Linked DNA regions of Medicago truncatula. The main gene of each other region encodes a partner of the protein of the gene in region 2 in a complex. Links are inferred from orthologs where the notes say so. Each region holds a gene or a part of one and is shown on either strand. Other genes may lie near its edges.

What was found.
Region 1: potassium channel AKT1 (region 2) and calcineurin B-like protein 3 share a complex: the UniProt entries of both Arabidopsis thaliana proteins name them as parts of the K(+)-channel calcium-sensing kinase/phosphatase complex. The link is inferred for Medicago truncatula from reciprocal best matches to the Arabidopsis thaliana genes KT1 and CBL3.
Region 3: potassium channel AKT1 (region 2) and CBL-interacting serine/threonine-protein kinase 6 share a complex: the UniProt entries of both Arabidopsis thaliana proteins name them as parts of the K(+)-channel calcium-sensing kinase/phosphatase complex. The link is inferred for Medicago truncatula from reciprocal best matches to the Arabidopsis thaliana genes KT1 and SIP3.
Region 4: potassium channel AKT1 (region 2) and CBL-interacting serine/threonine-protein kinase 23 share a complex: the UniProt entries of both Arabidopsis thaliana proteins name them as parts of the K(+)-channel calcium-sensing kinase/phosphatase complex. The link is inferred for Medicago truncatula from reciprocal best matches to the Arabidopsis thaliana genes KT1 and CIPK23.

Annotation. Positions count from the first base shown.
Region 1 is NC_053044.1:27,321,040-27,328,949, forward strand, and holds the start of calcineurin B-like protein 3, read left to right. Parts: upstream 1-4,240; 5' UTR 4,241-4,425; intron 4,426-5,387; exon of another isoform or gene 5,388-5,433; intron 5,434-5,516; 5' UTR 5,517-5,547; coding exon 5,548-5,671; intron 5,672-6,004; coding exon 6,005-6,087; intron 6,088-6,275; coding exon 6,276-6,335; intron 6,336-7,081; coding exon 7,082-7,190; intron 7,191-7,529; coding exon 7,530-7,582; intron 7,583-7,667; coding exon 7,668-7,748; intron 7,749-7,860; coding exon 7,861-7,910. Other genes in the region: uncharacterized protein, read right to left, coding at 178-262. UniProt on the Arabidopsis thaliana protein: Acts as a calcium sensor. CBL proteins interact with CIPK serine-threonine protein kinases. Binds calcium ions. Binding of a CBL protein to the regulatory NAF domain of a CIPK protein lead to the activation of the kinase in a calcium-dependent manner.
Region 2 is NC_053045.1:54,795,665-54,803,903, forward strand, and holds the start of potassium channel AKT1, read right to left. Parts: upstream 3,416-8,239; 5' UTR 3,269-3,415; coding exon 3,105-3,268; intron 1,240-3,104; coding exon 874-1,239; intron 626-873; coding exon 568-625; intron 473-567; coding exon 155-472; intron 77-154; coding exon 1-76. UniProt on the Arabidopsis thaliana protein: Highly selective inward-rectifying potassium channel that mediate potassium uptake by plant roots in response to low K(+) conditions, by a calcium-, CBL-, and CIPK-dependent pathway. Positively regulated by phosphorylation by CIPK23.
Region 3 is NC_053045.1:62,830,238-62,838,160, forward strand, and holds CBL-interacting serine/threonine-protein kinase 6, read left to right. Parts: upstream 1-4,952; 5' UTR 4,953-5,263; coding exon 5,264-6,571; 3' UTR 6,572-6,778; downstream 6,779-7,923. UniProt on the Arabidopsis thaliana protein: CIPK serine-threonine protein kinases interact with CBL proteins. Binding of a CBL protein to the regulatory NAF domain of CIPK protein lead to the activation of the kinase in a calcium-dependent manner.
Region 4 is NC_053043.1:21,923,871-21,932,355, reverse strand, and holds the start of CBL-interacting serine/threonine-protein kinase 23, read left to right. Parts: upstream 1-5,145; 5' UTR 5,146-5,559; coding exon 5,560-5,760; intron 5,761-8,032; coding exon 8,033-8,095; intron 8,096-8,230; coding exon 8,231-8,302; intron 8,303-8,415; coding exon 8,416-8,485. UniProt on the Arabidopsis thaliana protein: CIPK serine-threonine protein kinases interact with CBL proteins. Binding of a CBL protein to the regulatory NAF domain of CIPK protein leads to activation of the kinase in a calcium-dependent manner.

The DNA.
Region 1 (7,910 bases), on a different chromosome or scaffold from region 2:
ATTTGATTATCGTTTTTTTTTTTTGTTGGTAAAATAACATAATTAATTGTGAACATAACTAAAAAAATGTAAGACAAGTTGATTCCCAGATATGAACGAAATTAGGGTTTCTGAATTCAAATCAATCCATAAAATGAAACAATTACGAATAAAACATATAGAGGGAGCAATATTCACCTGAGGGTTCCGCGAAAAGATCGAGTTTGACTCTGCGACCAGCGTTGGAATGAGCGGCACGACGACGCTCTTTTCGGTTCCCCATTCGATTCCGTGTACGAATTTCTGCACGATTGAAGAAGCCCTTTGATGCGAATTCTGTGGAAGAAACTACCAAGGAAAGGAAATTCGATTTTTAGGGTTTGCAATTTGCATTGTTTGATTTTTGAATCTCTGAAACGAAAATTGAAAACCCAAATCGGGTCGGGTCGGTTACGGATCTTATGAAGCTACGTGTCGGACTCTATCTTCAACATGTTCAAAAGCAAAGAGCCACCTGGATAGATTTAAAAAAGAATAAATAGTCAATTTTCCCCCCTGAAATTGTAAGTTTCATCAATTACTCCCTTGAAATTAACAAAACTTCAATTACCACCTGAAATTTCACAACGTTGGTCAATTTACCCCCTCCGTCAAATTTTTCTGTTAGTGAACATGACGTTTTGCAAATACCCCCCCTGAAGTTTTGCACTTATGTGCAAAATGTCCCCCAAACTTAAAATTTTATATTACTTTTTTCATAAAAACAAACAATTAATAGTTAAATATTAAAGCTAACTATTAATTTTGGAGTTTGGAAAAACTACATACATATATACATCAAAATAGGGAAAAATGTGTATTTTTAAAGTGACAATAATGGTTATTTCTAATAGACAAATTATTACTTTTAGAGGTTTATAAACAAATTAATAATCAGATTTAAATTTATATTTTCTCTTTCACCATCTTAGTCTTTTAACTCCTCCAACTCCTTCAACAATTTGCTCAAACCATTTAAACTACACAACCCCCAATATTAATCCACAAATCATCCCATTATTGTCACTTTAAAAAATACATATTTTCCCCCATTTTGGAGCCTATTTTGATGTATATATGCATGTAGTTTTCCCAAATTCCAAAATTAATAGTTAGTTTTAATATTTAAATATTAATTGTTTGTTTTTAAGAAAAAAATAATATAAATTTTTAAGTTTGGGGGGCATTTTGCACATAAGTGCAAAACTTCAGGGAGGGTATTTGCAAAACGTCATGTTCACTAACAGAAAAATTTGACGGAGGAGGTAAATTGACTAACGTTGTGAAATTTCAGGGGGTAATTGAAGTTTGGTTAATTTCAGGGGGGTAATTGATGAAACTTACAATTTCAGGGGAAAATTGACTATTTACTCATTTAAAAAATAGGTTTGTCTAACATGTGCAACATTGCACATCTTAAAACAACTAACAGTAGTAAATTTTTCTTAAAAAACAACAATTATTTATTCAAAAAATTTATATTACCTCCGTCCCTAATTATAAGACTCCTTTGAAAAAATAATGGGAATTAAGATAGTGGATATTTGTGTTAAATATGTTTGTAATTACTATTGTTTTTACAATTTTATCCTTTAAGAAAGAAGGTTGGCCTATGTTTTCAACATTTTATTTATTGCTGATTGAAGAAAAATATGTATAAATAGGGGCATGTATGTAAAGAAATAATTAATATAGTTGAAAATAGAAAACGGGTCTTATAAAACGGGACAAAAAAAATTCTCAAAAGGGTCTTATAATTAGGGACGGAGGTAGTATTTAATATTGAATGTACAAGTTCTAATACAAAGTTTCTATAAAACCCTTAAAAAATATAGGAAATACTAACATGTGCTGGCACGCACATCATTAACACGAACACTGTGTTTGGTAGAGGTGATTTATGAGAGAGAAGTAGGTGAGAGAGATACAAGAGAAATGTTGTATTTCTTAGTTTGGTTCAGCAAAGAATTAGAGAAGAGAGACACACAGACGTGGAAACCATTTCTTTTTGGAGTCTTCACAAAACTGAAGAGAAAGAGAGAAGAAAGACTTGTTTATTCTGTATCTTCCAAAATTACCCTTTGTTTTCTCCTCTTCCATTTGTTTAGTTTTTTTTTTTTTTTTTAACTAATTATGCCAGCACATGATATTACCGTATGAAAATAATAAGAAAGAAATATCAACACATGATGAATCCAACATACCGTAACATTTTTATTGAGACAAAAATAAGTTACTATTTTTTTTTACGAAAAAATAAGTGAGTTAATGTATACAACTTACAAGATACAAAATCATTACGTCAAAAATATATATAAAACTATTTTTTCTGGTAGTGACAAAACTATTGTAATAGTGGATTCAACGCAAACGTCATAAATTACATGTTTTTATTAAAGGATATTTTTGTCTTTTTAAAAAATTGTAGCATCTCTTTCTCTTCTATTTCTCTTATACCAAACAATCCATCAAATCTACTATATTTCTCTCTTCACATACTCTTTCTCACCTATTTCTCTCTTCTCACAACCAAACACACCCTAAGAGTTCAAAGTGGAATTTGTTATAATTTATTTTTGTAGATGATGAAAATTAATGTTTTATAATAAATATCTACTATTTATGAAATCTTTTTTCACGGTACTATTTATGAAATCTTTAATATGTACTCTAAGGGCACAATATTTTTTTTTGTGGTGTCCGAGATTCAAACCTCAGACATTATATATATTATGCATTATTCCTATCAATTAAGCTAAGCTCACATGTATCTAAGGGCGCAAGTTAGCATAACTCAAAAAATATTTAGTTTGTGGTAAAGTCAATTTCATTTATTTTATAGGGGGAGACTCAACTCAACATTTTATTTTACATGCATTTCTTTAAAGAATTGAGTGTGTTCACGATGGAGTTTGGATCAATTATCAAAATTTATCTAATCTAAATGTAATAAAAATTAAGGATTAAAATATACTTATGTTGTTTGATCGTTTTGATATATTTGATTTTGTGTGATTTCAATTTTTTTTTTATCAATATGCAGTTTTGACTTGAATTTGAACACCTCTATAAAAAACACTTGTGTGTGTTAAGAAACCTTCTCATATTTCTATGTCATCAACACCAACTACGTCCTTTTGTGATAAACTTATGGGTCCAATCAGAGCCTCAAGTATGATAAAAGGAAGATGTGTGTGTGTTAAGAAAACCTTCTAATATTTCTAAGTCATCAACACCAACTACATCCTTTCGTGATAAGCTTATGGGTTTCAATTAGAGCCCACAAGTACGATAAAAGGAAGCAGAGAGATGCACAATGTTGTTTAGCAACGACTCTATTCAACAGGTTATTTGCAAGATAAATTCTTCACAACTCCATATTCTTCAACATCTAAATCACTCACACATGCTTGTATATGTTTCTTTGTAGGTGAAATTTTTTAGTCAGAAGGAGCACCTTCATAACATGTCTTTACCGAGATGTGCTTTGAGAGGGAAAGTGTTGCTCGAATTTCTCAGCGAAATTCATATGTTCTTCTAGGTTATATGTGATATTTTGGCAAGTTCCTCCGTATGAGTTACTCAGACTTTGTTAATGCTTGATGCCCCATGCTTAGCCATGTTCCTATTGTTTTTTTTTACCATTCTACCCAAACAATTCACACTCACTTTATATGTTTATATACAATGTCCTAAAAATTGTCGTCATTTTAGTTATTTAAATATCACTTACTCCCTCCGTCCCAAATTGTATGTCACTTTAGAAAAAATATTTGTCCGAAATTATATGTCGCTTTACAATACCAATGAAAAATTAATGTTACTTTTCCTATTATATCCTTAACTATTTATTACTCTCTCTTCTTTCAATTCCTTCATTTATCTTTCTCATATCATTTATTGAGGATAATTTTTTAAAACAACTCATAATATCTCTTTCCCACACAATATTAATTACATTTCTTAATATACGTGAAATGCCCAAAACGTCATACAATTTAAGACGGAGGGAGTATCATTTACACGTAAGTTTTACTTGACAAAACATAAGTAAAATGATTTGGCATCATAAATACACCAAATCTTTCTTACACAATTGAATCAATAAATTACATTTATTTTTTTACAAACAATAAATTACATGATATCTCATTTAATTTAGAGGCACATTTATTGATCAAATGCTGAAAAATAACTTGATGGCCACCCTATAATTGAGGTGAAAGTTATGTGTGGGTTGTACTCTTTGTACTCTACCTGTCATCGACCATACCACAGTCTCATTCTCATCACCCTCCCCTGCACTTCCTCTGCTGTGAACCTTCAAAATCCCAACCATCCAAAACTCCATTTCCACCACTTTATACTTCTCTGTTTTCTGCTCATATCATCTCTACCTCCATCAAGGTTTGATTTTTATCCCTACCCACTTCACCTTATTGCTCATTAATCATTGATCATACTTCTGTGCATGTTTTTATCATGTTTTTTGATGCGGTGTTCTTTATTTTTCTCTAAATTTCCTTTCTTTTTTGTTTTTCTACATGTTGATTTTTTGCTTGTTTATATAGATCGGTGAATTCTTTATGTATGAGTTAAGGGGTATGTGAAAAGTGGATTATCTTGAATTTTGAATCATTTTGGATTGTGGATATTGAATTTTGAATTTGGTGTTGCGTTATGGATCCATGTCTATCAGCTATTATAGTGGCGTGGTTCATGATGAGAGTTGTGATTGTTGTGGTTTATAGGATTGAGTATTTATCAAGAATTTGAATTTTGATGTGATAACATAGCATTGCCCCGTGTTTTGGAATTTATTATGGATTGAAATGGAGTGGAATATAGCAAAATTATTATTCTATAGTTTATTTTTATTTTTATTCCTTTCAAACAATCCAAATTACATAACCTATTATAATTTCATTCCATCCCTTTCCACTAATTTAAATATAAGCCTTGATTCTAGTTGCCGCTGTTTTTGTGTATGGTTGTTTATGGAGTTCCTTATCAGTCAATTCCTTGAATATATGAAGGTTCCGTGTGGCAAAACTACGACAACCAAACATCCTGAATTAATATAAGGAGTGTTGATAGACGTGTATAAATAGTTTGGGGGTTCATTGAGTACAAATTTATGCTCACAATGTTATGTTTTTCGCAGAGAAAGGAAATGAGCAATGTACAATTCATGGCTTTTGAATGCTGATACTTTTAGTATGATGTAACAATTTCATGGTTAAAATATGGAACTTGTTATGCAGTTGTGTTTTCAATTTGTGTACTTTCTGCTGATATCAGAATGTGATGGTCTGACTGGCAGATATGTATTCCAATTTTGTTCTGATTTTATTTTTTAAATTTCACAGATCGTGCTATTTGGGATTGTCACCTGAAATTGGAAATGGTTAAAAGGTTTGCACTCAAGTGCCATCTTACGATGACTTAATGATAAATGAACTACATGGGAATATCTAACTGATTTATTCATGGAACAGTTATGGAGAATTCTGATTTGCAAGAGATACCATGTTGCAGTGCTTAGAGGGATTCAAGTCTCTACTTGCTTCTGTATTGCGTTGTTGTGACATTGATATAAATAACCAGTCAAGAGGCCTTGAAGATCCTGAACTTCTTGCAAGGGAGACAGTGTGTACGCTGTTAATGCTACTTTATTCTATTGATTCATTACTTGATACTATTTGCAAAACTAGATAACAAAAGAATTTTAATATGCCAACATCTGTGAAGTGTCTGATGATTGAGATTTGAGAATACTTGCTTCTGAAATACTGTATCATGCAATATTCCGTTGAATTTTAAGGTAAAGTAATTAACGTTGATGAACTAGAACAAAAAAGAAACGGCATAGAACATGTGATTATCTCTTTGTTTGCTGATTCTATCATCTTTCACACTATTGGTTTGGAAATGAGTATGTAATATTTGTACTAAAGATGACTGTTTATTTTGAATATGTATGCAGTCAGTGTTAGTGAAATAGAAGCACTGTATGAGCTCTTCAAAAAGATCAGCAGTGCTGTAATTGATGATGGGTTGATTAACAAGGTTTGTCCTCTTTTGTCATTGAACAACTTTTGTTTGGTTTGGCATATTATGTTGAAGTTGTATGCATTGTCTATACTTATATGATATGACAATTTTTCTTTTTATTTTATTGTTTTCCTTCTTTGAAAAGGTTTTAGTTTTAAAAAATCTATCCGATGTTATATTCAATTTTAGTGCTCATCTTGCAGGAAGAGTTTCAATTGGCATTGTTCAAGACGAATAAAAAAGAAAGTTTGTTTGCTGATCGGGTACTGCTTTCCCTTCTATTCTATCTGTTTTGTGCAAATATGTTTATCTCCGGGCTATTATGTTAGTTCTTATTTTGATTTATACTTGCTGAAGATATTTTTATCACAATGTTTTCTTTTCTATTTTATGGGAAATCCAAGAAAGCGTTAAATTTACTTTGCACACTGGTATATGGTGTGGACAACATAAATTGAATAGTTCATTGAACATGAGAATCAAGAAAATTTTGTTCAACTTTGTACCTCTGGTAAATGTTTGTAGGTGTAACTAAGAAGTTAGATAACATCATATAATAGGATTTCAAGTTAGTTAGTGTACCGGAAAAATTAGTGTAGTTTCACCATGTAAATTAAGGTGCTACAATCAGTTTTGTCAATTGCAGATCGCAGAAAGTAGTGGCTTGTTCAAATTCCCTATAGCACTGTTATAGCTGCTATTTGATAACATCTTGTAGTAAATCGTGTATCGCGGAATAGTAGCAGTTTGTTAAAATTCCGTTTCACTATAGCCGCTATTTGACAACACTGGCTACAGCATTTCCTTAATATACAGTGCTTACTATCCTGTTCATATGTTTTGTTTATCACATGTTCCCTTACACACATATTTTCAAGAAAAATCACTTTCCGGACCGGATTAATTATCGTTTCTACTTAATTTTTTGTTCCTTTGTTATGTTTAATGACCGATTCTTATTATTCCATGTGGTTGGTATCTCACTCGAGCTTTTCTCTAACTCTATTAGGTATTTGATTTATTTGATACAAAGCACAATGGGATACTAGGTTTTGAAGAGTTCGCTCGTGCCCTATCCGTTTTCCATCCAAATGCCCCTATTGATGATAAGATTGAATGTATGTTGTATATTTTTCTTTTATTATTTTAGGCTGAATTCTCAGTAATTCAGCTTCTAAATTTTAAGAAAGCACATTTAGAGTAAATTCTTTAATGAGAAAAGGGGATATGCGCCGTCAGTGTAAACTAGTTTTGCACTGGCATCCAATCAGAATCCAGCACTATGCGGTAATTTTTAAATTGCAGTTACAAAATGAGATTATGTGGCAATATCATGAGATTTCATTGGACGTCAAGAGTGACAGTGCATCACCATTAAACTCTTCTTTAATTTATTATACACATCATCCGTCTCTTTAAATAAATGAGAACTAAACCATTGCAATTTCATATTTCAGTTTCCTTTCAACTATATGATCTCAAGCAGCAAGGTTTTATTGAAAGGCAAGAGGTAATTCATCTTCTTAAAAATCCAATTCTATTATTTTTGGCTCTCGTTCGAGACGAGCCTGATTTTTGTCTGTCTTTTTATACAGGTGAAACAGATGGTGGTTGCTACACTTGCGGAGTCTGGTATGAATCTATCAGACGATGTTATAGAAAGTATAATCGACAAGGTGCTACACTGTTCTTTTGTCACTTGCACTTCTAATTGCATACAAGAGTTTCAGTCTCTTTATTGAAAACTCACCTGGAATAGTTTAACATTAAATTTTGGATTACTTGCAGACGTTTGAGGAAGCAGATACAAAGCATGATGGCAAGATTGACAAGGAGGA
Region 2 (8,239 bases):
CAAGCATTTGATCTTGTAAACGAGGAGGTAATTGGTTCCTGTGAGCAAAACTTGATGCAGCTTGTATGGTATCCCTCTGAAAATTGTCACAAACAATGAGTGTCACGATTTTAAAAACACGAAATCCCTAACTAAAAAATATCTTGGTACTTACAAATTTTCTAGTTCGACTTGTGCCATGGACAACTAAGTTAGTCATGTTACCAATCAGATATGCTGTTAATCCTAGATTAAAGAGCATGTAAAATATGACAAAGATCATCTCTCTTTCATTCACCGGATGCAAATCTCCATAACCAACTGTTGTTAAAGTAGTGATGGACCAGTAAATAGTCGTAACATATCTTGTCCACAAGGACTGCTGAAGGAAATCTTTCATTGATTCGCCAATCCACGTCTTTTCTGGATCATGATAACGCGCGGCAAGAAGATAATAAAAGCATCCAGCACAGTGCACAGCAAATAGAGTAACCTATGAAAATCATTCAGATTATTAGTCCATCTCATTTACATCTAATTTATCTTCCTTCTTAAAAGGTTACAAACACAATATATTCAAAAACTTACACAAATAAGCTTTGCACACCGAACCCAAAAATAGTTATAGTTTCTGTCCTTCTCAAGCCTAGGATCAAAGAAACAACATTTACGGTCATAAACTACACAAAAAGGAAACAAAATATATACATGATTTTATGGGAGTAAATGCATGTTAAGATGAGCAACGAGATTGAAAAATCTAGTGAGCCACCGTGATTTTGCAAAGCTACAAAGTGTAGCTTTTGTGGAAAATTTGTGACTGGCTCACTGCTTTTTATCAATCTCATCGCTCATCCAAACATATGCACCAAAGCTATCAAGTTTCAATCTTACCGAGAAAACATAGCGCTAACTCTACGAAGACGCCAAAGCCTAAGCATGTTGAATAGGCCATAGGTTTGCATAGGAGCAGGTGATATATGTGCAACAAGCTCAGAAGGAATGATGGAAATAAGATCAAGTACAAACCAAGTTTTTGCATATTTCCAAGCAATCTGTTTCGGGTTATCTACGAACAAATAGGTAGTTTTGTCTATATAAGCCACAAAGAAAGTGAGAACTATATCTATAGCAAAGAATCCATTGACAATATTATCAGTAACAGAAAGGGGTTTTTGTGGTTTCTTAAGGAATCCAAATTCAAATGGAGATACCCATGCAGTATACACAACCAATGTAACAAGGAAAGTTTCCCATATCCTGCAAAAGCCAAAAAGTTTTAATTACTTAATAGTCTTAGAAAACTCTAAATTTCAAATGCAGCAGTTATTTATGTTCAATAAGATGAGAAGTAGGGATGTCAATGAGACGGGTGCTGGCGGGAGTACTCCCGCCATCCAAAATGCTCATCAACTCCATTCCCCGCCTTGGGGAGTATTCTCCTCCTAAATCTCCGTCTCCGCCCCATGATCAATATTTAAAAATAATCAAATTTATATAATATTCAATTAAATTGGTAGAAAAAATATTTAAATTTTAATCATAAAAAATTTAAAATTAAGACATTATTGCGAGTTTTGCGACAACAATAAATATTTTCCCAAATCACCTAGTGGGACTTTCTCCCCCATCCAATTCGTGTGGGGGAAAACTTCCCGCCAGCGAGACCCCAAATGGGGCCCCCGCTGTTGGGACGGGGAGTTTTAAAAAACTTTGCTAATTGATTACGTTGAATTAAAAGCAATCATACAAGTGAATTTAAAAAGAGAAATGATATTTGTACAACCATTTTGTACAACTTTCTCTCTCATACTCACATTATGTTTTTATTCTATCTCTACATTTTTCTCTCTCCATTGTTTTTGACCAATGAAAAAACAAAGTTGTATCAAAGGTTGTACCAAAATGGTTGTCAAAATATCACTACTCATTTAAAAATCATATTTTCATCTAAAACCTCCTTAAATCATTAGGTGCATAAGTTGTCATTATTTTAAAAATTCTTATAGTCAATGAGAGTCACAGTTGACAAATCACTCACAAACCGCACTTTAACAAATTGACATGAGAGAACATAATAAGAGAAACATAGAAAATGACTCTTTACACGAAACAGAGTAGCAGTTACAAAGGCAAGAACAAAACGGGTAATTTAGGAATTTCAGTTGAGAATCCAACATCAAATTTCTTTCGTTACAAACTCATAGCCATCATTAAAACACCACCAACTTCTTGGTTGTTTCCCATACAAGGAAAACAAAGTCAAACTTTATAGGATCACTAAAAACACGTGTAAACTTTTTGGATGTTCCTTTGAAGAGTAAAAAAAACCAAATTAAACAGAACAAAACAAACCGAATTTTTAAATGAGTTGGATAGATCTCAAAATAAGAACATTTCGAGAAAATTGAGTGATAAAATTGTTAATTAAAAAGATTAGTATAAGAAAACGAAAGATAAACAGATTTCTTTTCTGTTTTAGTATACGGCGGGGATCATTAAGAAGAGAAATTGTTGGTTTATGTTTCAAAAGGGTAACAAAACAAACAAATATGAGCATGTATTTTCGAAGAATACAAACATGAGAATACAAATGAGAGTAATTAATAAATAGTAAAAATAAAGAAAAATATTGTTAATTTATTTATAAAACAACCTTCTATGTGAGAAATCCGTGAAGATGGAATTTCTTGAATGGTTTCAAAAAATAGAATAAAAGAGAGGACCAAGAAGAAAAAATTCAATAAAATAATAACATCAAATACAAACAGAAAATGAAAGAAGTGAAACATTAACAGCTAACAATTTTCCGTCAGAAACAAAGCAACAGAAAAATCAATGTCATGTCTTTCAACTCTGTCACAAGAAAGGAAAAAAAATAAAAAAAATAATGTGAAATACTGGAAAATTTGAAGACTAATCAAGACTAATAAAGACTAATTATAAACGTTAATATCATTTATTGTGTTTCTTAAAAACAAAGTGAAATCTTAAGAAAGAAGAGAACAGTCAACAAGCGTTGGCACCTCCAACCAAGAATTGGTTAATCATATATTTACTGTCTGACACGTTTCAAATAAGATTATCAAGAACGTTGAAAGAAGAATAAACGGAGAAGGAATTACCGGTAACGGCGATCATAGGGAGATATAATGAGGGGTCTGAGTTTAACTCTCCGGTTGCTTCTGGCACCAAGAGAAGGTAATATTCCGGTTGTGAGACTATAGTGACTACCATCTCTTGATAATTCAAGTTCTTCTTGGCCACACATAGTCATTGGAAGCACCATTTTTATGTTCTAGTAACTTGTTCCTTGTATGAATCTTTTTTTCCAGTAGTTGTTAGTACACGGTTTTGATAGACATGTTTAGGCGGTTCTTGAATTGAATCTATATTTATGTCTGCGTGTGAGAGTGATGGTATGGCATACACAGTTTCTAATGTCTTTATATAGAAACATAAAGTAGTCAATTAATGCATTTGGAAATATTTCAAAGACACCTTAACAGAAAAAAGAATTAGAGAACTTTTTTTAAGGGGAAAATGAAATAAAGATAATGATATAAATATGTAATAATAAATTGATTATTTAAAAACAATGTTGAATAAATATTTAAAAATTGGCAAATTCAATGGTACACTCAAAAATTTGAGTGTACCGGTACACCAAATTGTAAAACTATTAATTAATTGAGTTTTCTTTTGAAGAAAAAAATTATTTTCTATCATTGACAATTATAATAAAGGTTCTGCTAACCGGTGCCCCCAGAGCACTGGTTAAGCATACCATAAAAGGAAACTGCTTTTGACTTTATTATAAATTAATTACACAATTTCAATGCATTAACTACTGTATAATTTTCTTTAATTTTTCATATCCTTAACCAGTGCCTCGGGGGCACCAGTTAGCATTTCCCTTATAATAATTATATCTTATTTACCAAAAGCTTCAACAAAATCAAATTTACTCTTTTTTAACTTTTTATTTCATAAAATGATCGTTAATTTATAAATTTATTGAGCAAGAGTAACAGTACACCTTCGGAACGTTCAAATATATGTTATTTATCATGGTCTCTTGTTGGCAAATAAAATTGGGGATTGAAGAGCTCGTTTTTGTGTTAACCTCCTCAAAGGCCCAACTCCCAGGTTTCATGTTTATGCCGTGTTGGTTCAAGACGTGAAGTATTTGATGGAACAAAGTAATACTATTGTTTGTCACACTCTCAGGATGGGAAATCAATGCACAAATTTTTTGGTCAAGTTTGGAGCCTCCTCATATCATGATTTGGTTCACCATGCCACCCCTTTGAATGGTCTCTTATATTCCCTAAAGATGAATGCAGTTGGGACTTTCATTCCTGAAGAGTAGTTTGTAATTGTTTATTTTCTATTTTTTTTCTTTTTTCTTTAGCATTGTAACCAGAAAAAAGAATTTCCCCTAAAAAAAATATTATTTTTAATGATTTAAATCATTTGATATCTCCTTTATTCTTGGACTTGGATCTTGTACGCTCCTAGAGAATTTTTTTTCGCTTTCTCTCAAAATCTAACAGTCTTTCCGGTTTGCATACTAGGATGGTCTCAGGGAATCCACATATCTATATTTTTATGGATTATTTTTTCAAATCATTTAGTGGTTAGAAATTCACCTTTAACATATAAGTGTAGTGACTGAAGTTCGAATTCGTCATTGCATGCATTAACAATGTTATTAAATTCACGGGTCCTTAGAAAATAATTATTCTCTTTAGACAAAGAACGATAATTCCCTAAAAAAAAGATAATAATAATTAAGTTTGATTTTATTTTCTTATGGTCTTTCAGTCTTCAAATCTATGATCCTCGTCTATGTTTGCATAAGAATATTAGATTTGAAGCTTGAAAATGTATACGAAAATGGACAAAAAGGATCAAATTGAAATGAAAAAAAGATAAAGGACGAAACTGTTACCTGAAATTAAGTTAAGAAACTAAAAGTGTAATTTATTTCTATCTCTCATTATTCATAGACCGAGAAATTTGTTTCTTTTAAAAATTAGAGAACTAAATCCATTCAATTCTTTTTGAAAAATTTGAGAAAAAATTATACCGTATTCTTATTCAAATAGAGTCCTTATTTATTTTAAAAAATAGTGGCATCTCTTAGGTCGTTCGTGCAGCTTTTTATTTATTGGGATTCATGAGTCAACGGTGCCATTAATTATTTAAATTTAAAATATTATAAATTGCTACACACATCAAACTCGAGACGAGGTCTTAAGGTCGAAGGCAATAATTACAATTTTTTATAAAGTTTTTCCTTCAATTTTTTTTTTTTTTGTTTTTTTTATAAAGTTTTATCCACCATTTCATCATATACCCTGTTCGAGGGCTGCATTATCTAATTCGTTTATAAAAAATAAATCAAACATCTAATTTGTTTATAAATAGTAAATCAAACTCAAGATTAACATATAAGATAATTCAACCCTTAAAAAAATATATATTCATATTTGGTCAAAAATATATATTGAATGAGTGAAGTCTATGGAGAGAATCCAAATCCAGAGCCATAGTAAACTTTAGGTCACTACTTATAAAAAAAAATATTGAATTGATAATCTGTACTCCATTTATGTCTAGACTTTTTTAGCCAAAATTATATATAAATGAAGACGCTAATGAGTGTAATCATATCACTATTTAAGTGTATTAAATGGTTTTCTTTTCTAGGGTAAGTGTATTAAATGGTATGTTATTATAAAGATTAGTGTTGTCGGTGTATTGAAAATTAAAGTATTTTATTTTCATTAAGAATAATTTTTTAATTTAAAAACCATAAAAGAGTTTCTGAAATACTTTCGAATGTTAGTAATTATTGTGATTCATTTGCCCTTACATTATTAGAACAAGAGTAGGAAGATATGATTTTTTTTTTTTTTTTTTATAGAGGAAGATGATTTTGATTTGTATATTTCTATTTAGACTAAAAAATTCTGATTATTACAACCATGGTTGATGTGATCCTAAAATTCTCTCTCTTGATAAGAATAATAAAGTCAGTGTGGAATAAAAGAACTAAATTAATTTTAAATTTAAAGTTTTATTTTCGTAGGTCATGATGGGTCAATATTTTACATTAATATTCAAATTAATTTGATTCTGAACCACTTATTTTGATCCGAGTTTTAAATACCACTTATTTTGATAATTGTGTCGGAGTTGAGGAGAACGTTTTACATGTGTTTCATGATTGTTCTTTGGCTAGCTTTGTTTGGAACCACTTGGTGCTTATTCAATGGAGGTTGGATTTATAGGTAAGTCAGTTTAAAGAGCGGGTTTTCAATAATTTGAATATTAATGTATTTTTTAAAGGAGAAGTTGAGCAGAGAGTTGATTAGGATAACACTTGCCACCATATCTATTTATGGAGGCATAAAGCAAATTCGATCCTGGTTTTGAAGATATGTTTGTCTCTCTTGTAAAACTCTGCAGCATGTAAATATTTACATGAGGTCTAAGACGAGTGCATGAGCTGTCTTGTAGAAATTGCAAGTCATTGTTATCAATTACTAGAGAGAAAATAGATTGGACATACATACATCAACAACGATGGTGCTTTCGTAGAAATTGAATATGATCAATGATTGTTGTGGAGTGATAAGGGATGTGGATGGGAAATAGCCGGAAGGATTTGCAAAAAATATTGCATGACGAGTGCTTAGTGTGGGCTAGAGATTTTTTTATTTTATTTTTACGTGGAGCTACATATGGACCTATTAGGAATGGTAAGGAGTCGTCTTAGTGGGGGGAGGGAGGATGTTGGAAGCGTTGGTGGTAGGAGCTTGATTAGGAAGATTCAAAACTTACTTCTAGAAAATTGGAATGTTAGAGTTCGCGATATCTATATAGAGGTGAACAAAGTACCTTTGTATTTGTGATGTAAGATTTTTACATGTGATAAACTATTTACATGTGAGTATAATAGGATCGTTTTTGTAAGGAGTTGCGTATTTCATAAGTATTTTCATAATGTTTATCACATTAAGTGTTTGAGTATAAATTGTTTGGTTGTGTAAAACTATTTTCCTATTCGACATAAAAGTAAAACGAGAAGAGATAGGACTATTTCGCTTGCGCTCAGAGACATCAATCAAGCGTAACAGCTACAATCTCTCGATCGATTAACGGATTCTAGCTTTTTAAACGATATTATCACAATCACTCGACAATATCATTCGTGTCCAAATGATATCGTTATTTCTAAGGGATCGTTTAAACATCGATTTTCCAAACATTTAAACGATCACAAAGTTGATTGGATCGTTTAATCGATGATTTCCCAACCGATTAATTGACCTAAAAGCATTAAGTTCTAGATTAAAAGTGATTATCAAATATTAACATCAATGTTTAGAGGGATAACTTAAGATAGATTGTTATTCTATTTCTAGATTTAAAAGTATGTGTCCATATCATTTCAAATCTCAATAAAACAATAAAAGCAAGAATAACAACAATATTGAATAAATAGCTAGAACCATATATTAAATTATCAAAAGATTACATAATAGCTTGTTTGAATACCTCAAAACCACAAGAGTAGATATAACTACATATGTCTATGATAGCTTTGCAAAGGATGAGGAAGAAATGAAGATTCAATGACAAGATTCATGATGTCTCAACAAATCTTGGCTTGAATCTACTCCTAACTACCTTGCTTTGTGTTTCTATCTCTAGAAAAGCCCTAGTCTCTCTCTAAAAACCAGAAAAATATCAAAGAAAATGTAAAAGAATAGTTGGAAAGAGAAGAGAAAACTATTTATATGGGCCATATTTGTGCTCGTTCGCTTAAGCAAAGCAACATTCGCTTAAGCGAACATCTAGGGAATCTTCCATTGTCCATTGAGGAGTTGCCACGTGGTCCTTATCTTCTGAAATTTGATGAACTTGGCTCAAGCGAACTGTAAGCGTACAGGAAGCGAACCATTTTGGAGCTCTCTGGAACTTGTTCGCTTAAGCGAACAATAGGTCGCTTAAACGAACTGAACTTTTCTCATGAGCGAACTGAAGGTGTGCTTGTAAGCGAACAGACTGGTTGCTCTTTGGAACTTGTTCGCTTAAGCGAACAATAGGTTGCTTAAGCGAATTGAACTTTTCTATGAGCGAACTGAAGGCGTGCTTGTAAGCGAACAAACTGGTTGCTTTCTGGAACTTGTTCGCTTAAGCGAACCAAAGTTCACTTAAATGAACGTAACTTGGTTCAGGAGCTTCC
Region 3 (7,923 bases), about 8.0 Mb from region 2:
CCCTGTTGTATTAACATGATTTTGTTGAAGGTAAAAAATCTGCTACATATTATGAGGCAGAAGGCTACACATTCTAAATTGGCAGGATGAAAACTTTTTAAAATTTATGTACTAACATATTATATATTCTCTCGATAACAATGAGAACTTGAGGGATTTTTAGTTCTGACATTTTTTTTTTTTTTAAATCCATTAGACTAATAACTCTATCTAAAAATTTTGTGATGTTTCTTTCAAATCTAAAATTGTGTATGTGTAAAGGTATGTTGGGATGCATAGTATTTAATTTGGATCACATTTGATTGGTCAAATAATATTCTGAGATCACTTACTTCTCATTTGCCAGAGTTCATACATCAATGAGCTTCTTTTAATACTTCAGCTTAACCATATTGATCACTGCTTCTATTTGCTACTTCTGGTAATTTTTAAATCAGTGTAGTTTATTTGCTAATTATATTTGTTTCAAATCCCATTTTGATTAAGTATGTGTCGCGGTGACTGCATTTGTGTTTTTCAGTTGGCGTTCTTTGTGTTTAGTGGTCAAGTGTTTAGTGGTGATATAGAGCACAAACAAGATGGGATTGAATTCAACCAGGAGGGGACAGATGCTGATCAAGACAATGATGATGTTTCCTTGATTGAATTGTTCACACATGATTAAATAACTGAACATATTAGAAGTCTGAAAAAGCAATCTGTTCAGGTTAGTATTCCTCCTTCCTGAAAATTTATGTTGTGTTTTCAATTATCTTGATCTGTTTAGGCCTTGCCCCTTCTTCATCAAGTAATATGAATTGAGTTTTAAGATAGTTTTCTTTGACTACGATATTGTATCAAGAGAACATTGTTTGTCGATTTAATCCCATCTGAAAGAAAGAAGTGTCTCCATGGGATATCAAATCAATATACTACTTTATGTGATGACGATGATGTACATATCCTAATAAATATTGGGAGGTGGTCCTTTGGAGATGCTAATTTTATAAAAAATTATGTTTTTGTTTCAGGTAAAACTTATTCAGAAGACAATGGAATACAAAGCTGTCTGTGGTTAGTGAGACGAAAGCTTTAAGGTTGTGACTAGTGCGGTTTTCAGACAGCAGACTGTTGTGGTTCAACTGTGTTGGCAGTGGTGATGTGCTGCGGTTTGCTACCTATGGTTTTCCTTTTTTAGCTTTGGGAGGGACTGTTGTATGGGACTTTGGTTTTGTTAGGGACCTGTATGGAAATGCACTTATGCGTTTGTTGAAAAGCCTTGAATTGCACTATGAAATTGGAGGGGATTGGAAACACTACTGTACATTTCGGTGGTAATTAAACATCCAAAATCAATTTTAATTTAAAGTATCCAAACAACATCAACTTGAAATAATCACTTTTATATATCAATTCACATCAAACACACTTTTGACTAAAATCAATTATTTTAAACTCAATTATGTCAAAATCAATTATCGTCACCGCCGTACCAAACACACACAATGACTTTCACCACACAAAAAACAAAAAACAAATTGACTTTCACCACACAAAAAAAAAAAACAAATTGACTTTGAAGCATAACTTTCAAATAGTACATCCCTGTGTAATTTAAAACACCATAATTAAGGTTATTTTTTTCCCATACATGTTCTTGTTTTAAAAATGGCTGGCGGGAATGGAGAGTGGATTCTGAAAAAATAACCCCGATTGCCATTAAAAAAATATTTCAATTCCTTGTCTAATCTAATACTCCTAAATTTAATTAACTTATTTTATCTACATCTACAATATCATCATCATCATATAGTAAACCCACCAATGCTGTGATCAGCATGTCCTCAATTAGTGTGTATAAATTAGTATGAGAATAATGTTATAAAAAAATGTATGAGAAAAAACAATTGGTTATTTATTCTTTTGGTTTGATATTAATGTCTGTCAATTATTGTACATACCTTTCAATTTCATATTTAAATTCTTAATAGGTGTTGTAATAAAAATAAATAAATTATGAGTCCTGCTAACCGGTGCCCCGGGACACTGGTTAAGCATATCATAAGAGAGAATTATTATCCTAAAAGAAAATTGTTTTTGACTTTATTATAAATTAATTACACAATTTCAATACATTAACTACTATATAATTTCCTTTTTTATATCCTTAACCAGTGCCCCCGGAACACCAGTTAACATTTCCCATAAATTATTGGTAGGTGCATATCATCATATGATCAAAATCAGAAGTTTCTTAGCACGCGGGTCAGATGGTGACTTCCCAAAGACATTGCATCATTTGCAGGTGAGGTGAGGATATATATCAAATGAATGTTTTTGTGTTGAGTTGATGGACCATCGCATTGAATTAAAAACAATTACACGGATGAAATTGAAATAAAAATATGGTGAAATCAATTTATACAAATTTACCTTATATGCATAACAATAACATGTATTATACTCATGTACTTATTTATAGATGCATCAATAATTTAAAATTTCAACTTAATTATAAAACAAAAATATATAAAATCATTATAATAAAGTGTCATGCTCATCAAACAACATAAACTATCCCACCAAATCATAAAAACATCTAAAAAAACAAAAAATTGACAAGTTTCTAAAGTTCTTTTTTATGGAAAGTTTCTAAAGTTATTAAAGGTTAAAACAAATCAATAAAAAAATTCTTCCAAATTGGGTAAAACTAAAATAAATTAACTCGGGTTAAATTTATGTTTCACTCAAAATTGATTTGACAACCAATTAATCTAATCGAAAATTCACTCTTAAAACTGTAAAATTGGGCAATTTTACATTTTAACACGCAATTTTAACAACAATGATAGACATTGTATCTTCACTAAAAACCTCAAGATATTAGATTTATATGTCGTCTCACTTGTATGTTTAAAGGAGGAAAAAAAAATCATATACATTTAAAGTTTAAATAAAAAAAAAAATGGGACATGAAGATGATTATATATTTTTAGTTGACTATAATGATTGCGTCAAAAAAAGAAGAGACTATATATGAAGACGAGCAAACAGTTCACTTGAAATGCATTATTTCACATGGTGGCATCTCAATCCAGTCCAAATGCACATTCCATTACATGCTAAATGTATTAATTATTCCAAAATTTGTAGTTATAAGAGCCACACTAACTATTGATCAAGTAGGTAGCAAATCTCTGCATATCTACGAGATCAAGAAACAGTTTTATATTTCAGATGATTGAAAGAAATTATTATACACTTCTGATAAGTTTGCTTCAGCGATGAAAATGTAGGAAATGTGCGTCCATCAAGAAGCTGTAATTAGATTGTGTTTGGTTATGCAGTAATTAAAATTAGTTTGATAGAATCGAGTTAAAAAGAACTGATTTTGAATAAAAGTGAATAGAACTAAAGTAAATTTATGTTTAGATACATTCACATAAAATTGGTTTTTATCACAGGAGCAAGATCAAGACCGATCTCTTGCTGCCATAATTCTTTGGAGTTTGTGGAAGAGTAGTAATACCAAGCTTTGGGAGGCTACAAACACTTCACTGACCCTCATTGTCTCTTGTGCTTATGATGTGCTACACGAATGGAGCTGCATGCAACGAGCTAAGCATCCGGCAAGCCCCCAAGATCAGCAACGGACGTGGACCAAGCCACAGGCCGGCCACATCAAATGCAATGTTGACACGACCAATTTCCATAATAACTCTATTATGGCTTATGGTTTATGCTTTAGAGACTCAACATGATCTCTATTATTAATTAAATCTAACTACTTGCACTTATCTTCTGTCTTAGACGCGGAATCCCTTGGTCTTCTCCACTTTCTCAAAATGGCGATATCCAACGATTTGCATAATGTTATGTTTGAAACGGATAGCAAAACTTTGGTAGCTGCGCTTCAAGCTCTCAATGTTCCATGTAATAAATTTGATGACTTGGTATCTGAAATATGTAAGAGTCTCTTATCTAATAATTTCGACTATGTAGTATCGTTTATAAAGAGACAAACAAATATGATATCTTATTATATTGCTAGAACCATATTATCTCATCCTAATCTCATATCTTTCATGACATATCTTCTTCTACTTGATATCCCTTGATTATTAATGAAATGTAGCACCTCTTCTTTGATTTAAAAAAAGTGAGCAGCTCGCTTCAGAAGAGTCGGGTCCGTCTCGAGAGACCTACCTACCTGTTAGTTGTCGTTGCTAGCCAGTGACATAGTGCCACGAGCTATTACGTGATTGTCACAAATTTAAAAACCGATCATCCACTGTTTGTTTTAAATCTAATTGCTGGTTTGCAGTTGCAGCGAGCCCCACAGCCAGGCTCCACCATCGTTTACGTCATGTCAATGTCTCACTCAAACCTCCTACCTCAAACAAAATAACATTATTCATTATTCCATCTATCTAATCTATCCATTCTAGCAGTATTCATATACTAACCAACCAGTATTATTATATTATCAATCACTCACACACACACACACTGTCACACATAATAATTAACAAAACAAAATAGGTTTGTCTTCTTCTATGGCGAGCAGCACTGCACACCATTCATTCATTCATGAATCAATCATGATTCAAAGTATTTCTCTCGCGGTTTTGGTTTCCTTTCCTAATCAATCATGATTCTATGTCTTATTATTATCATTTATTTAATACTTCTGAATTAAGAAATGAGAATAAAGTATATCAATTAAATAAAAATGAAAACAAACAAACAAACAAACCAAAAGAAAAAGACTGATTCGGTTTAATTTCATCGTCGCATAAAAAAAAAAAAAAAACGGTTGAAGCGGTGAGAAGAAAAGACAAGAACAATGGTCCATACACGTGTCCACCATCACCTAATCTGTCTTTGAGAGAGAACCGTCAGATCACCAATCAATTGAGACAATGAAAACGAAAGCAGAGACCAACCAGCACCGCCGTATTATAAAACCAAACCTAATATAAGTCAGTAATAATATAGAATTATTGTCGAAACCAAACACAATTCTTCAACCCTTTCTTAACCAATTAAATCATTCTTCATCGTTTTCATAATTCTCTGTATCTGTCTGTCTACAGCGAAGGAATGCAGAGAGATGAGAGGCCATTGCTATCGGTTCTCTCCATCTGAAGTTGTAAGCATTCTTACAAAACGAATCATTGGCGGTAGACATTGCCACCGCAAACACGTTGAAGACGGTTGATCTATTCTCCATCTTCATCTCTTCTTCCTTCATATTTCTTCTATTACTTTGTAAATACTAACTATGTGTGAAAAGGAAAACCCTAACTCTCACTCGGCTCTGCTCGATGGAAAATACGAGCTTGGTCGAGTACTCGGTCACGGAACATTTGCTAAGGTTTACCACGCCAAGAATTTGAATACTGGAAAAAACGTAGCCATGAAAGTAGTTGGTAAAGAAAAAGTGATTAAAGTTGGAATGATTGAACAGATCAAAAGAGAAATCTCTGTCATGAAGATGGTCAAACACCCTAACATAGTTCAACTTCACGAAGTCATGGCTTCCAAATCAAAGATCTATATCGCCATGGAACTCGTTCGCGGTGGAGAGCTTTTCAACAAAATCGTCAAAGGTCGACTCAAAGAAGACGTTGCTAGAGTCTATTTCCAGCAGTTGATCTCAGCCGTTGATTTCTGTCACAGTCGCGGTGTTTACCACCGTGATCTCAAGCCGGAGAATCTCCTCCTCGACGAAGACGGTAATCTCAAAGTCTCTGATTTTGGTCTCTGTACTTTCTCTGAACATTTGAGACAAGATGGATTGTTGCATACCACATGTGGTACTCCGGCGTATGTTTCGCCGGAGGTTATCGCGAAGAAGGGTTACGACGGTGCTAAGGCTGATATTTGGTCTTGTGGTGTTATTCTTTACGTTCTTCTGGCTGGATTTTTACCGTTTCAGGATGATAATTTGGTTGCTATGTATAAGAAGATTTACCGCGGTGATTTCAAATGTCCACCGTGGTTTTCTTTGGAAGCTAGGAGGTTAATTACAAAGCTTCTAGATCCGAATCCGAATACAAGAATATCCATATCGAAGATAATGGATTCTAGTTGGTTTAAGAAACCGGTTCCAAAGAGTATAGCGATGAGGAAGAAGGAGAAAGAAGAGGAAGAAGATAAGGTGTTTGAATTTATGGAGTGTGAGAAATCATCGACGACAATGAATGCTTTTCATATAATTTCACTATCAGAAGGATTTGATTTGTCTCCGTTGTTTGAAGAGAAGAAGAGAGAAGAGAGGGAGGAGATGAGATTTGCAACGGGTGGGACGCCGAGTAGAGTGATATCGAAACTGGAACAAGTGGCGAAGGCGGTGAAATTTGATGTGAAGAGTAGTGATACGAAGGTGAGACTTCAAGGGCAAGAAAGAGGGAGGAAAGGAAAGTTGGCTATTGCAGCGGATATTTACGCGGTGACACCGTCGTTTCTGGTGGTGGAGGTGAAGAAAGATAAGGGTGATACTTTGGAGTATAATCAGTTCTGTAGCAAAGAGCTTCGTCCTGCTTTGAAAGATATTTTCTGGACTTCTGCTGACCCTCCAGCTGCTTGATGAATTTTTTCATCATTAATCATAATGTTTGTTTAATTTACTTATGTTATGTCTCATTCTTCTCTTTGTAATAATTCTTGTTTAGGAGGAGCTTCATGTGTTGTTTTAATTATGTATGTTTCTGCTTTTGTATCTTAATCGACTAAAAATTCCTTGTCTTGTTTGTGTGTGATATTAATTTTATGTATAATAATTGGTTTTTATTTTTGTTTGTTTTAGTAACATTTTGCTTCATCCGTCGTCTAGACTTGATATTATTGAGGAATTTGATTTACTTGCTTCAACCCGTGAGGGATTGCATCAACTTGCTAAAATATCATAATTTTGCTTCATCCATATACAATCAAGATTATGAGGAATGAATTATTGGTTTACACCACCACCATCCCAAATTCCCAACCCGTGAAGGATTGCCTCAACTTGCTGAATATCATATTTGAGAGGCTGCATTGAAGAGCACATGGATGGGACCAAACTCACTTTGAACATGTGCATGTCATTTTCTTCAACCATAAGTTTTGTGGTCTTGATGTTTTTGATTAAAAAAAAAATTAACTGTTTCTTTGATAACTTTTTAGTTCACAAATTTTATTACTCCATTTAAATGAATTATAAAAATATATATATATATTGAAAAAACATTAAAGAAAAACATCAATTTTTTATTTTTTTTTGAAAGAAGATAAACATCAATTATTGAAAGTCGAGAACTATACAATTATTGAACATAGTTGGTGAAGAAGAAAACATCAAAGAAAAACATTTGTGGTCACTGCATTATTTGGTACTCAGCTTTCACAGCTTTAATACTTGTATTTATGTGCTTTATATGTAGGTGAAGAATGATAATGAGGGACAAACATGGTCCCATATTATTATGTGCTTTATTATGCAATGAGAAAAGAGAACTCATTCTCTCTTTGATTTCAGTAACGATACTGATTTATAAAGTTTGTACAACTAACCTTTTTCCTCCTATACAAACTAAGTTAACTGGTAGGTTGTTACTGATTCAAATATTACAGCTTGAATTGAAAGAACCATCTTACTTTAGGTGGAATGTCCATTTTAAAAAGGGAAAAAGAGGAGGTAAGAAAAGTAAAATCTTGGTAACATAATTGAGCGAACTATAAACACAAAATGTCATATCCTTTATTAGTTGCTACTAGCCTGCAGTCGCAATTTGACACATTAACACAATCGGTACATTCGTGGTGATTAGATTGAGATCGAAATGTTAAGATTCAAAATCAATATTTTTTATTTCAAAAAATCAAAATCGGCATTGAATCTAGCCATCCAATCGCGATCCACTAACTGTGTAAGTATGCCAAACTTCAGTTTTGACTGCT
Region 4 (8,485 bases), on a different chromosome or scaffold from region 2:
GTTACACATGGTAACTAAAAACAAATTACTAAAGATAAAAACATACCCTAAAAAAGCAATGAGAAGATATATTCTCTTCCGAAGCTCCAAAGTAGCCTTCCTCTTGAACTGCCACAATTCTCAACGAGATATTTTGAATGAGGAAGGCTAGTATTTAGAGTGGAGATTTCTAATTGGGTTTGGGCTAAAAACGCGGGCTAAACCCTGAGCCCCCGCATTTTAAGATGTTTGGGGCGCATAGTATATGCTTGAGGCGCATATTGCCTCTTAGAAATGCTTAAGGCGCATTCTTGATTCCCCAGGTGCATTGTAATGCAATTCCATGCCCTAGGCGCATTTGATTGTGCTTTCGGGCCCAGTTTCTTCGATCTTCGTCGTTTTTATGTCTTCGTCTTGAAATAATTTGACTCGGAACTTGGAAACAAAATTCCTTCCTATGTAAGGTCTCCTGAGGCCTCTTGAATCTTCATTCTTTGTCTTCCCAAGGTCTTGACAATTCTTCAGTTGTTCTTCATTTGCATGATTTCTTCGTGAATTACTTAAAAAAACCCCTAAAATTGCAAAGATTTGGGAAAGAATGTGATTTGCATGTCTTGAATCTTCATTGGTTAGCCTTGAATACATCTTGTGCTTGGGATTAGCCTCTATTATTAATATATGCTTTGATCTATTTATGTTGAAAATAAGGACAATACTTGGAGATAAAGACGAATGGATGCAAATAACTGTGTTCAATTTTGAAATGGTAATTTCTTGGATGATCAGTCAAGCAATTAATTGAATATATTTTGGGATAAACTGTGTCAAGAGCTCTGCATATACTATTCATGAATGTCCTACCTTGCCATGCCTTCACAGTCATACTAATGTTTCTTTCATCTTGACTGATTATATTTTTCATCTTATTGTTTTTTTTTTATTTGATTCATATTCAAAATGCTCTGCCATGCCTTGACACTCATACATGCAGAAAATGAAGTACTGTTGATGTTAATGTGTGAATCTGCAATTATGTTTCTTATATCATGGTGAACATTGTAGCAAAAAAGTAAGCAAGATTTGTTCAGCAGCTACAAATGTTAATGACAGCAAGGAATCTTTGACAGATCCCATTCTCCTATGTTTTACTTTCAAAAAGCACATGATTTACTTTTTAATGTATATGGCTTTTAAAACTCGACCAATCATTTTACCACTGCTTTGAACTCTAAATTAATTCAGGCTTCTTATTTGATAATATCATATGTGGAATTTTCCTAGAAACATTTTCCCTCAGTATATTTCAGGTTGTACATTTTATTTATATTGCATCATAAATCTAAATTGTAGTTAGTTTTGACAATTTCTAATATAGTCCTTTAATGTTGCGATTTATCTAATTTTTCATTGTTAGATGTATTCTACATTGAAGTATACGGTTTCAGTGTGATATTGTTGGTTGATTTAATATTTATTTATCTAATTTAGCTTTTGCACTCTTGATATTTCAGAATAGTTTTGATTTTTACTCATTTGGTGATTGTTAGATTAGATTCACAAATCACATGATGTATATACAGCTTAGTGAAGTCTATCTAGGTTGAAGATTCGGCCGTGTTTGTGCTATGAAATTTCTTTACAATTTATATATATATAACTATAAGACATATACAACCATTGCTTGGCTAAATATTTCACTATATTTCTAAACATAAATAATAATGACTATCGTGCTGTGTTGTTTTTTTTCTTTCTCAACATTCGTGCCTTAAATGTAAGTAATATAGTTTTCATTAGGGAACATTTATCTATATAAATTGAGTATTTATCTTTGATCTTATTCTTCAATTTTTGAGAAGAATGATAATATAACTTTCTTTCAATTTTCCGTGAGCAACTATATCTGATTTCATCACTCTTATGCAGCACCAGTAAAAAATGTTAAGCCGATAGGCATTGATGTCTGATGAATTCCATTTTGCTTTCTATTTTCTAATCCGTTTGAAAGGTTAAGTAGAACCCTAATGCCTTTAAGGTGAATATAAGGAAATTTTTATCTAAATATTGTATCTTTTTTATAAAAAAATTGTGATACACCGAACAATTAGACTCACGTGGTTAATGAGTGGCAACAAATGACGAATTGTTCAGATGAATTTGAGTTCGATTTTTGGGTGAAATTTTTTTGTCTGGACTTTCACCAAAAAAAATTACTGGTCAGACTTTTATCTACCTTCCGACTGAACTCCAAATTATCCGGTCTCATTTCCCTTAAAAATCAGAGGTTAACACAAAACAAAAATATTTGGTGATATTTTTAAATAGACATGTGCGTCCTAAAATTAATCATCCGTGTGCAATACTTCTTTCCTGCATATTTTTCCCTTAATTTGCTCATTTGAAGTCTACTATCTATATATAATTTTTGGTTTATAATATTCACGGAAGATTGGGTTATTTGGAGATCAAGGATATTGATATTATAGCATATGCTTGCAAGTTGCAACTATGTTAGGAAAGGAAAATGCTAAACCTTATGTGCACTAACTAATATAGTAGAGTGTTCCTATGCATGTCACACAAGATGCATCTCAAACGAGCTTATAAGCTATAAGCTATAAGCTCGTTTGATGGCTTTACCAAATAGACCCTAAGTAAAGTAGTTCTCATACGGTCCAATCACACCATTTTATTAGAAAAACTAATTCAACAACCTTGAAATGTATTTTCGTATGCATAATGGATGTAGCAGCATTGAGACTTATTTCCCACCACATTTAGAATACTAATGTGCTAAATTTATTGGCTTTTCACAAGTTACTTCAAATTTTAGATATTTTGTTATAAAGGAATAATCATACTTAGAAATAAAGAGTTCAAATTGTTGCATTTAGCATTGTGCTCACACTTGATATTTCTATATAGGCTGGTATAGTGGAAGACTTGGACGAATTGGTAAAGGAGTTTGGAGCTGCTAATGACGAAGAGAAGAAGGCCATGTTTGCCCGAATTGAAGAGCAAGTTGAGAAGGTCAAGGGTTCAGCTTCTAGGTAGTGTAACAAGATATTGGGATGATGGGGTTGTCCAATCTAGCCTCTTTTGAACATGATGAGTTTTCTTAGGCCTTAAAGAGAAAGAATGTGTCTTGAAAAGTGATAAATGAATTGCATAAGCAGATCCAAACATATTAGTTTACTTTCAAAATGAGTAAATTACTCTACATTCACTTTTGGAATAAGTTAAATTAGTAAACATTGATGTAGTATAAAGAAATTTTATACTCCCTCCGTCTCAAATTGAATGTCGCTTTGGAAAAAAAATTTGTCCCAAATTATATATCGCTTTACAATACCAATGAAATATTAATGTTATTTTTCCTATTATATCCTTAACTATTAATTACTTCATCTTCTTTCAATTATTTCATTTATCTTTTCCATACCATTTATTAAAGATAATTTTGTAAAACAACTCATAATTTCTCTTCCCCACACAATATTAATTACATTTCTTAATACGTGTGAAATGGCCAAAACGTCATACAATTTGGAACGGAGGGAGTATTTAAGAGTGGTGTTTCTATTGTAGATGCTCATCAGTTTCTATTGTAGGGATGCCATTTCTTTTGTTTCCTTTTGACTGATGTAAATTTTGGCAAAGTTCCCTTTTTGGTTAGTCTCTTTTTGATAAATCTTCACTTATTATGTAGGCTTAATTACACTTTTGGTCCTCGTGTTTTGGCCTACTCACGAAATTGGTCTTGCCCTTTTAAAACAGAACAAAACGGTCCTTCAATTATCATTTTTGTTGCATTTTTCGTCCTACCTCCTATTTTCAAACTCTAGAAATGCAGAGAAATGACAGTTTTAGGCGGTTTTAGACCTTCCCCTATGCTCAACCATGAAATCAACAAGGAATAAAACATGTGGGCACAAGGAATCTATTCTATTCAGCACACTAACAAAAAAAAAAAAACCATAATTTGAAACATATCTTAGAAATTAGGGTTTTTTTGGTTAGTGTGTTGAATAAAGTGAATTCTTTGTACCCACATGCTTTATTCCTTGTTTATTTCATAGTTGAGCATAGAGGTTAGGTCTAAAACTATCATTTCTTTGCGTTTTTGGAGAATAAAATGGGGGGTAGGACGAAAAATGCAACAAAAATGATAATTGAAGGACCGTTTTGTTCTGTTTTAAAAGGGCATGACCAGTTTCGTGAGTAGGCCAAAACACGAGGACCAAAAGTGTAATTAAGCCTATTATGTAATGACATATCGTTGGTCCCTTCATTGGTTCCAATTAAAAACATGCTAATTATAATGTTGTTTTCCTAATTAGGATATGCTCTTCTAATGCATCAAAGCTTTGTAATTAAAAGGTAGGAAATTTGTAGAAATATGTAGTTATTTTCCATAATTTGTTCATTTTTCCTTTTGTACAATTGTTTTACAAGATACGTTATTCAACCCGTGCTGAAGCACGGGTTTGTAAGTAGTTCCTCTAAAAAGAATAGGTATAATTTTATTTTTTTTAAGAAAAAATCAATGACCCATGTGTTTTGTTTTGTCTTGCTTTTCATTTGGACTGGTTTTGTTTGCTGGATTCAATGGTCCGCATCTTGGTATAAGACATTGGTAAGACTTTCATTGGCGGAATGATATTTTCTTTGTTGAAGAATGGGTGGATTGATATTATAAATACTTATATTTTATTTTATTGTAGAAAAAAAAAACATATATTTTAATATCAAAAAAATAAAAATAAAAATATTAATATATTTGTCATGGGAATACGTGTTCTATAATATAGTAGTAAAAAAATACACCTTCCGCTCACTAATATAAGCAAAAATCTAATTTTTTAGATACATTCAGTTAATGATGTATGTGGTCTTTATTATATGTTATATACATCATTAATTGAATATATTTAAAAAATATATTTTTGCTTATATTAGTGACCGGAGGATCTACTACAATTTTATAATTTCAATGCAACCTAAGACAAAATCCAAATCCAACTGCATTAAATTGAAAAGATAAAAATCCAAATCCAATGGCATATTCGATTTTGACAATTATGACACATGTGACCTTGCTAGATGAGCCTTCCTCACATAAACCTCTTATTCATTTCATTCATTCATTTCATTGACCATTCTCTCTTCTTCTTCTTCTTCTTTCAAAACCATCAAAATCTTAGTATTATTTCTCTCTCTCTCAATTCCTTCCCCTTGTTTTGTGTTTTTATTCCACACAGCTGAAACATCATCATGATTTTCTCTTTTGATCCAACGGTCAACGATCAACCACCGACCATTTACCTCAATCACAAACGTTAAATCTTTTAGATTCTTCCATTTCTGATTCCTTTGTTTGGTTGGATAGAGAAGAAACAACAAAAAAGGAAAGAAAGAAGAAAAAATGAGACTCCCAAAATCTCAAGTGTGGCAACCTTGTAAGAAGAAGAGGCTCTAATATATAATCATATAATCATATAATCATAGTGAAATAGTTTGAATATAGAGAGAAAAAGGAAGGAAAGAAAAGGAAAGAAAAAAGAGAGAGAGAAAAAAAAGATGACGTCACGTTCGTCGCATATCAGCGGAGGAAGCAGCAACGGCGGACGAGCGAAGGCGGGAAAGTATGAGCTGGGTAGGACGTTAGGTGAAGGTAATTTCGCGAAGGTGAAGTTTGCGAGACACATTGAAACTGGTGATCATGTTGCTATCAAGATACTTGATAAAGAGAAAATTCTCAAGCATAAAATGATTCGTCAGGTTAATTCTTTGTTTTAATTGTTAAATCAATTATTTGTTTTTATATCTTAGCTTTCTGGGTTATTATGTTATAGATACGAAGTTTCTACTGTTGTTGTGTAAGCGTTGACTAATCTTCGTTTAGAGATGTTAATTGATCATTTACCACTGTTTATTAACTTATCTTTTTGTTTAGTTTTTAAGCTGGTGTTGGGGTTTGACTATTAATTTACTTATTTTAATGGAATTATTAATTTAATTTTGTGTGTTTTTGGTTTGATTTTTTTATTTCTTGGCTGGTAAGAAAAGATGTTGTAGAACAAACTTAGTACTTGTTTGGTTGCATGTTTGATAATCGAATATATACGTTTGCAGTGATATCAATGCAAAGTTGCCGTGATTTTTAGAATCTAGAAAATAGAGCTTCTGAAAATATTGTCGAGGTTTTGAGCTAACGGGAAAATTTGCTGCAGAACCAAATAGAGGCTTAATAGATACTCCCTCCGATCATATTTATAAGAAAAACAACTTTTTAAATTCATTGAATTAGCCATCCTTGGTTGTGGCTCTTAAATGGGTTCCTACCGATGATAATTTGTTCTTTTCCGGTTTGACTACTGGAGCAAGTTCATCTGTGGATGTCAACTGAAAGAACTGTTCTTCCACAAGAACCATGATCTTATTCATTGGAAAGTTAATAAATAAAAAATAAATGTAAATATGAAAATGAATTGATTAAGTGTGGAATACTAGGGTTGACCAAGATAGAGTTGAGATTCGAACACGGATCATCATTGGAGACACTAAAGAGTTTGACTTCTTTTTTTGTTTTCTTAGTTTTGGTGTCAAGTTCTGTTAGTGTTATGTGTAGGGAATGTTATTATCTGATTTTTCTCGTTGGAATAGTTTTCTGTCATTGAAATTTATGAGATTATCTCTGTTGAAACAATAATGCGTCTTGATTCTTGGGTAGATTACTGAAGAGAATTCAAAAGAATATCCGTATACGAAACTGACAAAGGTGATAACATTGTGCTCCAACCAAGAGACGTCATACACTGCTGATAGCCGCAAAAATGTTTCTTGTTTATACCTTTGTTCTTTATAAAACTTCAAAAAGGTTCTTCTTCTCATCAGTATCCTCGTTACTAGGCAAAAAAGAAACAGTTTACACTTTCTGACTTACGAGGCATGGAAATCATAAACATGTCAAGAATAATGAAATTGGACTTAGAGAAAGTGTGTTGGATTTTCAAACTTCCCATCAGAATTTAGCTTAAAAATATGAATAAAATTAGGGAAAAAGATGTTAGTTATTAAGACATTTCCCTAAACGTGTTGGATGTTACATCGAAACTCTCAGTTACTTGCTAGTGTCTCTGATAACTTAAACTTTGACAAAAGAAAAATCTAGAAGTTTGAATATTGCTGTGAAGGAAACAAAACTAATGGGTGCCATCATCATTCAATTAAAAGAAACTAGTGGGGTCTTCATGAAACATATCCATGACAGTACAAACCAGGGACGAACATGAATAACCGAAGTCTGTTTTGCCATTTCATTAACCATAAAAGGGCAACCCGGTGCACTAAAGCTCCCGCATACGCAGGGTCCGGGAAAAGGCTTAGTGGGAAAAGGCTTGGGTGTTGTTGTTGTTGTATACACAGGGTCCGGGAAGGGGTCCCACCATTTGGTGTATTGTACGCAGCCTTACCCTGTTTTTACACGAGGCTGTTTCCAGGACTTGAACCCGTGACCTCCCAGTCACATGACAACAACTTTACCAGTTGGGCCAAGGTTACCCCTCATTAACCATAACCTTATTTATTTATCTCATCATTCTGACCAAAGCAAAAGTGGTCTATGCTTCTGGGATGGTTCTTTTCACTTTTCCACCTCAGTCGCCATTTATTATGAGGTGCTGATTAATCATATAAAGTATTTGTTTGATTGATTATATCTCATATAATTATTTGTAAGACATTTCTTAATATTATTAATTAATTACTTGCTTTCTAATTATTTTATGTGTTGGCAACAGTTAAACATGGCAGCTATTCGAGTTTAAACTGTGTTTTGTGTGGTATTGAGAAAACGTTTAGTAGTCTATAGTTTTGAAGTTACATTTCAATGAAACATTGTTGTTGAAATCCTCCTCGCGTAGGCATGGTTTGCTTGACCGTAATAAATCTTAGTATGAACAACTTCTGCTAAATTTTGGGGTTTATTTTGTTTTTCTGAAGCATAAATACTCTAGTCTTTGCTGATATTCTGTTGTTCACTGTTATGCAGATAAAACAAGAAATATCAACAATGAAACTGATTAGACACCCAAATGTCATACGCATGCATGAGGTTAGTAGGCAGTAAATGATTGCTTCCATGTATTTTACATTTGTGTGGTTTGCTTCTATTCTCATATTTTCCCAGTTTATTCTTTCAGTTTTTCTAACTGCTCTCTGTATTGTAAACTACAAATTCCTTGTGTAGGTAATAGCTAACAGGTCAAAGATATTCATTGTAATGGAACTCGTGACTGGTGGGGAGCTGTTTGATAAAATTGTAAGGCGGTTTTTACCTTCGTGTGTGCTTTGAAGGCCTAAATTCCTTATATTAGTGTTGTCCTTCTATTACCTCTTATTTTGTTGATTTTTTCTGTTATTAAATTGAGACAGGCTCGCAGTGGGAGGTTGAAAGAAGATGAAGCAAGAAAATATTTTCAGCAGCTTATATGTGCTGTGGATT